2 linked regions of the Nothobranchius furzeri genome follow. Each later gene encodes a partner of the first gene's protein in a complex. Links are inferred from orthologs where the notes say so. Each region holds a gene or a part of one and is shown on either strand. Other genes may lie near its edges.

Evidence for each region.
Region 2: the proteins of atp2b1a (region 1) and nptnb are in contact, whole or in part, in a cryo-EM structure (PDB 6A69), measured with the Homo sapiens proteins. The link is inferred for Nothobranchius furzeri from reciprocal best matches to the Homo sapiens genes ATP2B1 and NPTN. Residues at the interface, in NP_001353449.1 of Homo sapiens: Phe954, Asp955, Ile956, Asp957, Glu996, Arg997, Asn998, Val999, Glu1039, Gln1040, Leu1042, Trp1043, Ile1045, Phe1046, Met1049, Gly1050, Leu1052, Leu1053, Gln1056; in NP_036560.1 of Homo sapiens: Arg245, Ser246, Asn248, Arg332, Arg334, Pro339, Pro342, Phe343, Gly345, Ile346, Glu349, Ile350, Ile352, Leu353, Ile356, Ile357, Tyr360.

Annotation. Positions count from the first base shown.
Region 1 is NC_091741.1:46,471,698-46,476,025, forward strand, and holds the end of atp2b1a (plasma membrane calcium-transporting ATPase 1), read left to right. Parts: intron 1-9; coding exon 10-126; coding exon of another isoform or gene 127-190; intron 191-2,441; coding exon 2,442-2,852; 3' UTR 2,853-3,556; downstream 3,557-4,328. UniProt on the Homo sapiens protein: Catalyzes the hydrolysis of ATP coupled with the transport of calcium from the cytoplasm to the extracellular space thereby maintaining intracellular calcium homeostasis.
Region 2 is NC_091749.1:73,904,249-73,908,606, reverse strand, and holds the start of nptnb (neuroplastin b), read left to right. Parts: upstream 1-1,267; 5' UTR 1,268-1,880; coding exon 1,881-1,956; intron 1,957-4,358. UniProt on the Homo sapiens protein: Probable homophilic and heterophilic cell adhesion molecule involved in long term potentiation at hippocampal excitatory synapses through activation of p38MAPK. May also regulate neurite outgrowth by activating the FGFR1 signaling pathway.

The sequences.
Region 1 (4,328 bases):
TCTTTGCAGATGGATGTAGTGAGTGCGTTCCAGAGTGGAACTTCCTTTCAGGGGGCCCTAAGGCGGCAGGCCTCCAACTCCAGCCAACAACAGCACGATGTAACCAATGTTTCTAGCCCTACACATGTAGCCTTTACTACTACTACCACTACTGCCACTGCTGCCAACAGCGCTTCTTCCACTGTGGGGTGTGAGTGCGTGTTCTCCTTTAGTGCATGAGACTTTTTTTTTGTTCCTTCCTCTAACATCTTTCTCTTCCACTCTTTTTCTCGCCTAATGTTCAACTTTTGCACTCTCATGCCTCCCCTAATGTCCCTCCCCCTTGTTTTCTTAAAAAAAAAATTAAAAATAAACCACCAAAACCACATCTTCCATACTGCTTTTATAACTGCTGTATTATACATAAATGTCCCCCTGTAACCAGGTTGCTTCAGTTGTCGAGGTGTTTTATTTGTGTCGTCGTGTTTTCTGTTCTGCTTCTGCATCGGTCTAAGTAATGGAAACTTTGTAGGGGTGGGGGGTGATGTGTGTTTTTCTATCTGATAAACATTTTATTCTGTATTGACGTTTACCAGGTTTGTCTGCAGCTGCCTCAGTCTGCTCTGTGCCTTTGTAGCACTCGTGGGTCTTTGTCGCAGCTCTCTAGTCCCTGGTGGGGTAAATGTTTTGAGTATACGCCCATGATCACGGCCTAAACTATGCAGATTACTCGGGACAAGTGTCCATGGTGAGATAAAGACCTCTTTCTTTCCAAATGTGGCAGTTTACTGTCAAACAAAATGTGCGTGTTGTGTCTTTGGATGGACCTCTCTACCAGCGCCCAGTGGCAACAACAAGCTGCTGTTGCCGGGTTACAGTTTGCTGCCATGTTTAGATGCAGGTTTTCATGGACTTTCACAAATTCCTCCAACCTTTTTCAAGCTTCAAGGCCTTCAGTGTGGAAAGTGGATCTGGATCATTTGTGGCATTTCCAAGGGCTGCTGCTGCTACCCCCCCAACACACACACACACCCTTTATGTACCCTCAGAAGAATAAGGAGTCTGTTCTTACTACTTTTTCCTTTTCAGACCCAACCAGAGCGACCGCCTCACCAGCAGTAGATCAGAAATGTCTCAGATGCAATAAAAGCAGCTTTATGGAACCAACGATTCCCCATTTGAATATTTAAACATAACTCATTTCTTTAATAGCTTACAGAAGGTTGTTTTTTTTCTGGCATATTTCAAAGTGTCTTGTCTGAATAATGTTTGAGTTTCTGTTTTAAGGTGGACCCCCTCAGATCAACGGTTACCTCCCTATTGAACCACCAGTTTCCTCTCAGGGGCTCTTTAAACATGTCTTCCTTTATGGGAATACCTGTTTTTTGTTGGCAGTGTGGGTCCATGTTGCATCCTGTTGCTAAATTAACAACCGAAGGGAAACAGAATGATGAAAATGCACACACTCCTGTTCAGGTTGTATGAAATGTGTCATGGGCTATACTCAAAGGTTTACTACTGTTGAACTAAAGGTAGCACCACGCTCTGCATGGGTTCTAAGTCTCTGGTCTTGTTTGTGAGTTCTTCTCTCTGTGCTGTTTTCCACTTGTATACGAGCTTGTAGACATGCTTGGCTGCTGCAGCATCTTTGTTTCTCCTCCACAAACATGAGCTGTAACAGACCCCCACCCCCCTCCTCTCTTTTTCTTTTCTGTCTTTCTCCTGTCTCTTTCTGTCTTCCTGATCTCTGCTGCTGTCTCACTCTTTGCTCTCTACTTAGCATGTCCTACAAAGGTAGACTTTTGTCCAGCTGCTGCCCCCTTTCTACGGCTAGGTTAGAGAACTGCTGTCCTCTTCCATCTTAATCCTATTTTGTAGTTTGATTAGTCCTCTAGCAAGTGTTTAAAACCACAAACGACCACATTTGTCACCGGTTCGTTCTCTGCTGTTAGATTCTAGTTTCTGAGTCGTTACTACTTCTAAATCTCCCAAATCAACTTTTCTGTAGCTCAGAGTTCTTTGTTGAACTATTTTGTGATTTGAACTAGCGGCTTGGTCCTTAGCTTGTTTTTTTGCCTGAGTGATACTGAGTTTCTGGTCTTTAAAGGGGGTAATGTTTGTTATATAAGTAGGTATAGTTTTCATCCGCTCGTTTCGGCTTTGTCCCAGAGACAGAAAATGAAAACAGAAATCAGTTCTGTGCTAATATGTTCGCTAACCGTTCGTATGGGTAGGGACGTCCCAACTCCAGATCACTTGTCTCACGGCTTAAAGATGTTCTAGAATAAACGCTCACTTGCACGTGTTTGAGAATATCCTCCTGGTTGTTGGCTTTGAAGCCCCTAAACCTTACCTGGAATTGAACTAATGAAGCCTCTGCGGCACGACCTGGGTTCTAACTTGGAAGTGTGTGTCATTACCCAATGTGAATAACGGCATCCTGTCTCCCTCCTTCCCTCCAGATCCGGGTGGTGAAAGCATTCCGCAGCTCCATCTCCCTCTATGAGGGGCTGGAGAAACCCGAGTCGAGATCATCAATTCACAACTTCATGACCCACCCCGAGTTCCGGATAGAGGACTCTGAGCCCCAGATTCCCCTCATAGATGACACAGATGCAGAGGACGACGCTCCCACCAAGCGCAATTCTGCCAGCCCTCGTAACGCAACGCCCACTCCCCCTTCACCCACGCCCTCGCCCTCACCGTCGCCCTCACCCATCACCACCGCTGTCCCCAGCACACCGGTCTCTCCCTCCCCAAACCAGAACAATAATGCTGTGGAGAGCAGCAACCACCTCCTTCCAGAGTGCCCCAAATCAGGAACCCCTTCAGCCCCAGGGAGCCCGCTACACAGCCTGGAGACCTCCCTTTGATCCAGCCCTGCTCTCCCTGTCAGCACCTCTTTTCTACCTGCCACCAAGGAGCTCCGCTCGGACTAAACGAACACTTGGAGAGACGAGACGAAGGGCTAGACTGAGAGCAGAGTCCTGTAAGAGCTTAGCATGAGCTGGACTGAAATAACAGCAGACATTCAGAGGAATGTACGGCTTGGTGCGGATGCTTTGGTTTTTGTTTTTCTCATTAATACCCTGCTGCAACACAAAGACTCGGTCTTCACCCCTCCCTCCTTGGTAACATTTGCATTTTCTGTGTTACAAAGGGGAGATTATAAACTCAGATTGAAAGTGACCTGTTTTCAGTACTCTAATATTATTGCTGTTTGAATCGAGATGGAAGTCCTCCGTGCACGAGGGCCGTCTGTAAGAACATGAAAGAACCTTTTAGCTTCTCTTATCTGAATGGTGTTGTATATTTAGCTCTTTGGCCCTTGCTCATTCAAAACTTATTTCTGCTCCATTGGCTGTTAATATTTTGAGTTATTTATGTTTTTTGGAGAAAAAAAAGCAGGTCTGTTTACAAAGTTTGTAGATACTTTTTTTCTGTTGGTAGGCAAAAGAGCTTCCTGATGTATAATGCAGAAACCTGGGACAGAATATAAATGAATGCGTGAGCTATTTCAGATACTGCTGTATTTTCAGGAAAAAAAAGGGTGTTTCTATTGAAACTTAAATATTTTTGCCTGCAAGTTTTATTTGTTATATATATATATATATTTGTAGATAAATATAGAACCGTCTAGCCAAACTGATGAACACAAAGGCTTGTATAGAAAAGAGGTCCAAGGGACGATGAGTTTTCACAGGAGACAGAGCGGGAAAGACATTAATGACCTCTGTCCACTAACATTGCTATAAATAATTACTACTTCCATTTGTTCAATAGTTATGTGCACAAAAAACCTTCTGAACTTCTAGATTCTCTTTTGATTCATTACGATGTGTTCAAGAATTTCCACATGTTGAAAGGTTTATTTTTAAAAGGGACTTTAGAAAATACCTGGGCCTGTACTTAGCAAGCATCTCACTTAGAATCCAGCTGAAAGTTGGGGAGGAAACAAATTTTTACCTCAAGTAGACACGGGGTCCTTTTTATGAAACCTCCCACTGTTGCTTTCATCCAGAAGAGGTTCTCCTTTTAGATTTGTGGAACCTCAAAGTGAAAATGTGTTTTTGTAGTTATCAGTTACACTCAGAAGTGGCCGATTAAAGCAGCAAAACAAACAACTTCTGATTTTAAAGCTAAAGAAAAAGTTTTTATATCACTTGAGTTGGAACTGGTGCTGCTGTGAGCTGCTCAGCCTCTGAATTGGTTTAGTTTTGCAGTCAAATGTTCATCATACACACTAAACATGAATGTGCCTTGGCTACAATAATTGAGACGATACTGGTCCCATCATGAACCACCTTCAGGAAGCTCCTTACAAATGAAGCGCACTTGTTTCTACAGCT
Region 2 (4,358 bases), on another chromosome or scaffold:
TCCTCCCTAATTGGCTCGCACCACTTCTGCGGAGCTGCCTTGTCAACGAGCACAAACCTTCCCTCCCAGTCTGTCATAGCACAAGCAAAGTACTGGCCATCGAGGAACAGCAAGATCAGCCAGACGACAGCAGGAACGAAACTGGAGAGGGACACGCTTTTCCTGCTCCAGGTGTTGCATCTACATCCTTGAATGATCAGCATCAAGGTGAAGGCCATGACGGCAGGAATGATGAAGAACGCGGATGAAAACACTCCGTTCCATGTAGGGCTGCAAGGACACTCAAACTCCAGCTCCACAAGCTTCTCTAGTCCCATGAGGATAAAGCCAAAAGCCACATTGGACACCAGCGGACTGTTGCTAAGTTCATTTTTCAGCCTGGTGAGCCATTGTTGTCTACTTTCCATACTACTGACTGGAGAATGAAGGCACCCGTGGTAAAAGAGGGTCCACCGTTGGGAACACATTGGCAACAGCTTAGTGATGCGTACATAACTCATCCAGGGGTAAGTTTTACCCGCAGGCCAAATGCCACACTTCCACTCTGATTGGTCCTGAACAAAGGGGGGGTGTGCCGACTGCGCTGACCTTTCTCTAGCTGATTGGTGTTTGGGAGGATTCAGGTGGGGTTACATTTTAAACGTGCGCTCCCACAGATAAACTGGAGGAAGGGCTTGCGAAGTGGAGGGAAGTTTGTTCTACAGCTGAGCGCTGGCATGTCCTCTGCAGAAAAACACGCATGGAGCAGACGTGCACCTCAGGAGAACACTTCAAACTCAAAAACTGACCTGCAGTTTCACATTCGCACCAAAAACGACTGATCAGATATTCTTGACTTAATGATCTGCAAAGTTCAGCCATAATACAAGTTATAGATAGTTAAATAATAAAGTGATTAGTGTTATTTAATCAAACTGGTCACCTGATAAATGGGACAAGTCACGCGCTGGAAGTTATCGGTTTACCTCAACTGACCACATGAGGGCGCTCGTGCAGCGGCGCAGGACAGAGACAGAGGACTACAGGAGGCCATGTTGAACTTTTATGGGATGGAATATGCAGTTTGAGAAGGCCACTGATGACATCATTTATAAATGACATCACTGAGCGTCCGTACAACGTCACTTTAGTTAGAAGAGGAAAGCACACTTGTGAGAAATTCACTTTTTATTAGCCAATTATTAATGGATTCATCCGTTTATTTGGGCTTTTCTGCAGCGTGTAAAACATTTGTGGATCCAGATGTGACGACAACACATTAAAATGACGTCACATTTGGGATTTTTATGGATAAACCGAAAATGTTTGATAAACAAAAGCAACAACGAGTTCACGTGTGTGTGTGTGTGTGTGTGTGTGTGTGTTTCCATCCGGCGTCGTGAGCGCACTGGGCACGCGCAGCCTGCCGTTGGTTCCCTGGCATCTGTTCATCCCGTGGCATTAAAAAAAGACCGGTCCGGTCCGGTGCCGATACCGAACTCATGTTTGGGCTCCATCTCTTGACGTCTGGGAATCATTTGTGCGCTACTTTCATTTTAATCACCGAGCCGTGACCGTGGAGGCGCAAATGCGCATCGGCGTGCGCATCTTTGAGTCTTCGGAACCTCGCCGTGGACGATCTCCCTGACATCCAAAGACACCGTCTGCGTAAGTCCCGACGAGGCTTCTCCACCGCCGATGGCCGCGCATCGGCTTCCCTGAAGCCGCTGGCCTGGTCCCGGACCTTCCACCCGCTGCTGCCCCGCTAGGGTCTCCTCATCAGCCGAGTGATTGTAAGACCCCGGTGCTATGCTGGGCCCATCTTTGTAGCTCCTGTGATTAATAGCAACACGACATCTCCTCCCACATTTGTCCGCCCGAGACCTCCCGGTACCCTAACGATGCATCCTACCGCCGTGATGCTGGCGGTGGTCCTCCTGGGGAACCCGATGCTGCCTCTCGTCTCCAGTCAGAACGGTAAGGACAGGTGTGACCGTTAACGTGGCACCGAGGGGAGGAGGCTTGTCTTGTGTGAGTGAGGTGTTGTGAGCATGCAGGTGCCTCATCCCGAGGCCAGGTACAGCTTATTGTCACTTTTTCACACATAAATTAGTGAAGTGTGGCGCTTCTGGAAGGGAGTGAGCTAACTGCATGGGCAATTCTTCAGGTTTGTTGTTAATGATATATTTAGACTGTTGATCCTGTTGATTGTTTGTCTGTTCGGCTTATAAATGATTGTTGTGGTTATACTTGTGCATTTTCTTATATCTGAGCAGCTATTTCTCCCATTTGGTCAGAAAAATGTCACCATGAATATCCAAAGTTCACCATCAATGAAATCCCAGCAGAACCATCATGGTTTGCTTTAAGGAAATGCCGCCTACTTGCTGCTGGGTGTTCGGGCGTGCTGTCTCCTTCTGACTGTTGAATCACACCACCCGCCGCAGCTGCACCAATCAGGAACCGTTCATGATGTCCAAAAAGATTCTGGGAAATGCTTTTTGGTTTCCTGGACGATCTAATAATCAAAGTTCTGCCCACATATTAAACACCGACGTGGATTTGGCCTTTAGAGACAGCTTTACTCTACGGGCGATATAACGATATAAATAATGGTGGATTTGAATGTGATGAAAGCAGATGAATAGACCCGTCACGTTCTCAGAAAGATGGACCATAGAGAAGGTTTCTACGCGGACTGTTTTAGATGCGACACTCTGCTTTACTCACAAACTGGAAGCAAGCAATGCTACGAATGCTACGATTTACGCAGAGATCTCCAATACTAGAGATGTAGACAGACAGTCGCCGTGTTAGCTACTCCACCTCCCATCATCCCCCAAGCGTGCTCCGTAGCTCCACGTCCTCTTTATACGAAAGTCAGCACACAGCACTCAGTCATCGATTCATCCAATCCATGTCAAGAGTTACGAGCCTCACCGCCGACAGGAAAGCCATTTCTTCGTTAATGCGGTGATGCTTACGTTCTCGTTTCCCATCGAGAGACACATGGGTGTTACTAGATTGGCTGCGTGTCCCAACAGTCGTGCTCCGTGTTTGGGTCTCACCAAAAAGTACATCCGAACTCGCTGAGCTCTCCGTTAAATCCACGATTGTTTCTGACGAGCCGGAGCAAAGATTTAGCTCTGCAGGTCGGTCTAGCCACGCTCCACAGGAGCCTCGGCAGGTCTACCATTGGTCTGAGCAGTTTTGTGTTACACCAATCACAGCGCTCTGTGGCTTTGGTGGGTGGGTAATGAGACGGCGCAAAACAACAAAGATGGCGTTGACCTGTGTGAAAGGGCTTTGGCATCCATATTTAGACTTGGGCTTTTCTTCGAGTCAAGAGCAGATGGAGGAACTTAAGTCCTTTATTTTATAGCATGCAAAGGCGGTTTAAAAGACAACCGCAGGCCCCGCCCCACAACTGCTCTCTATGGGTTGTGGCCAGACCTTTTATTCGCTAGGGCTTTGAATATTTTAGTATGTGAATATTTTATCCAAACCTCCATCGATTCACTGAATATTCTATTTGACGGCGTTTCAAGTGAAAGAAGATTATGGTCTGCTGCTAAAAATATAAAATAAAACAACACAATTATAAAAGGTTCAACAATATAATAAATTGGTGTCGTCGGGTTCCTTCTTTCCCAGCTGATGTTTATAATAAATAACTTTGACTTATCTTCCGTTTAAATATTTGGTTTAATATCATTCATCCTTGTCTAAACATATGTAAATAAAATCAAACATGATCAGTAGAATTGAATTACTTCATTAACATGTTCAGCAGTAAGCTACTGGAAATGCTAACGTGTAATTTCTGCAGTAACCATGTAATGTGGCATCTATTTCGTTACGTACGGGTTGGCAACATAATCCAGTCTAAGTTGCATTCACATACAGAAGTGTTTGTGAATTACATGCTACAACGGCTAGCCATAGCCCCGCTGCGGTGTGTGGAGCAGACTCGAGTCGCTGACTCTCAGCAGCAACGACCTGACTCAGCGGTTCTGCTCCACGCCGCCGCTGCCATCCACACATAAACGTAGAGTTTAGTCGTTCACAACCGTCACGTTTTTTCTGACCTCCGCCTGATCGTGAGCATGCTACACGCTAGCTTAGCATTAGCTAATCTGCCCGTAGTTTAACTCCTGCTCCCAAACTTTGGACCAATTCTGCCTTTTGCAACGGTTTCTGTCTGCTGGTTTCGCTATTTTCCTCCACAGCGCCCGGACCACCACACAGTGCTCCAGTCAAATGTGTTCAGACTGTGGAGTGCACATCTAACGACGGTTTAAATCAGGAAAAAATGAACCAAATCATTCAATGATTCATTTAATCCCAAACATTCACATTAATAGAATGACTTGCCAGGC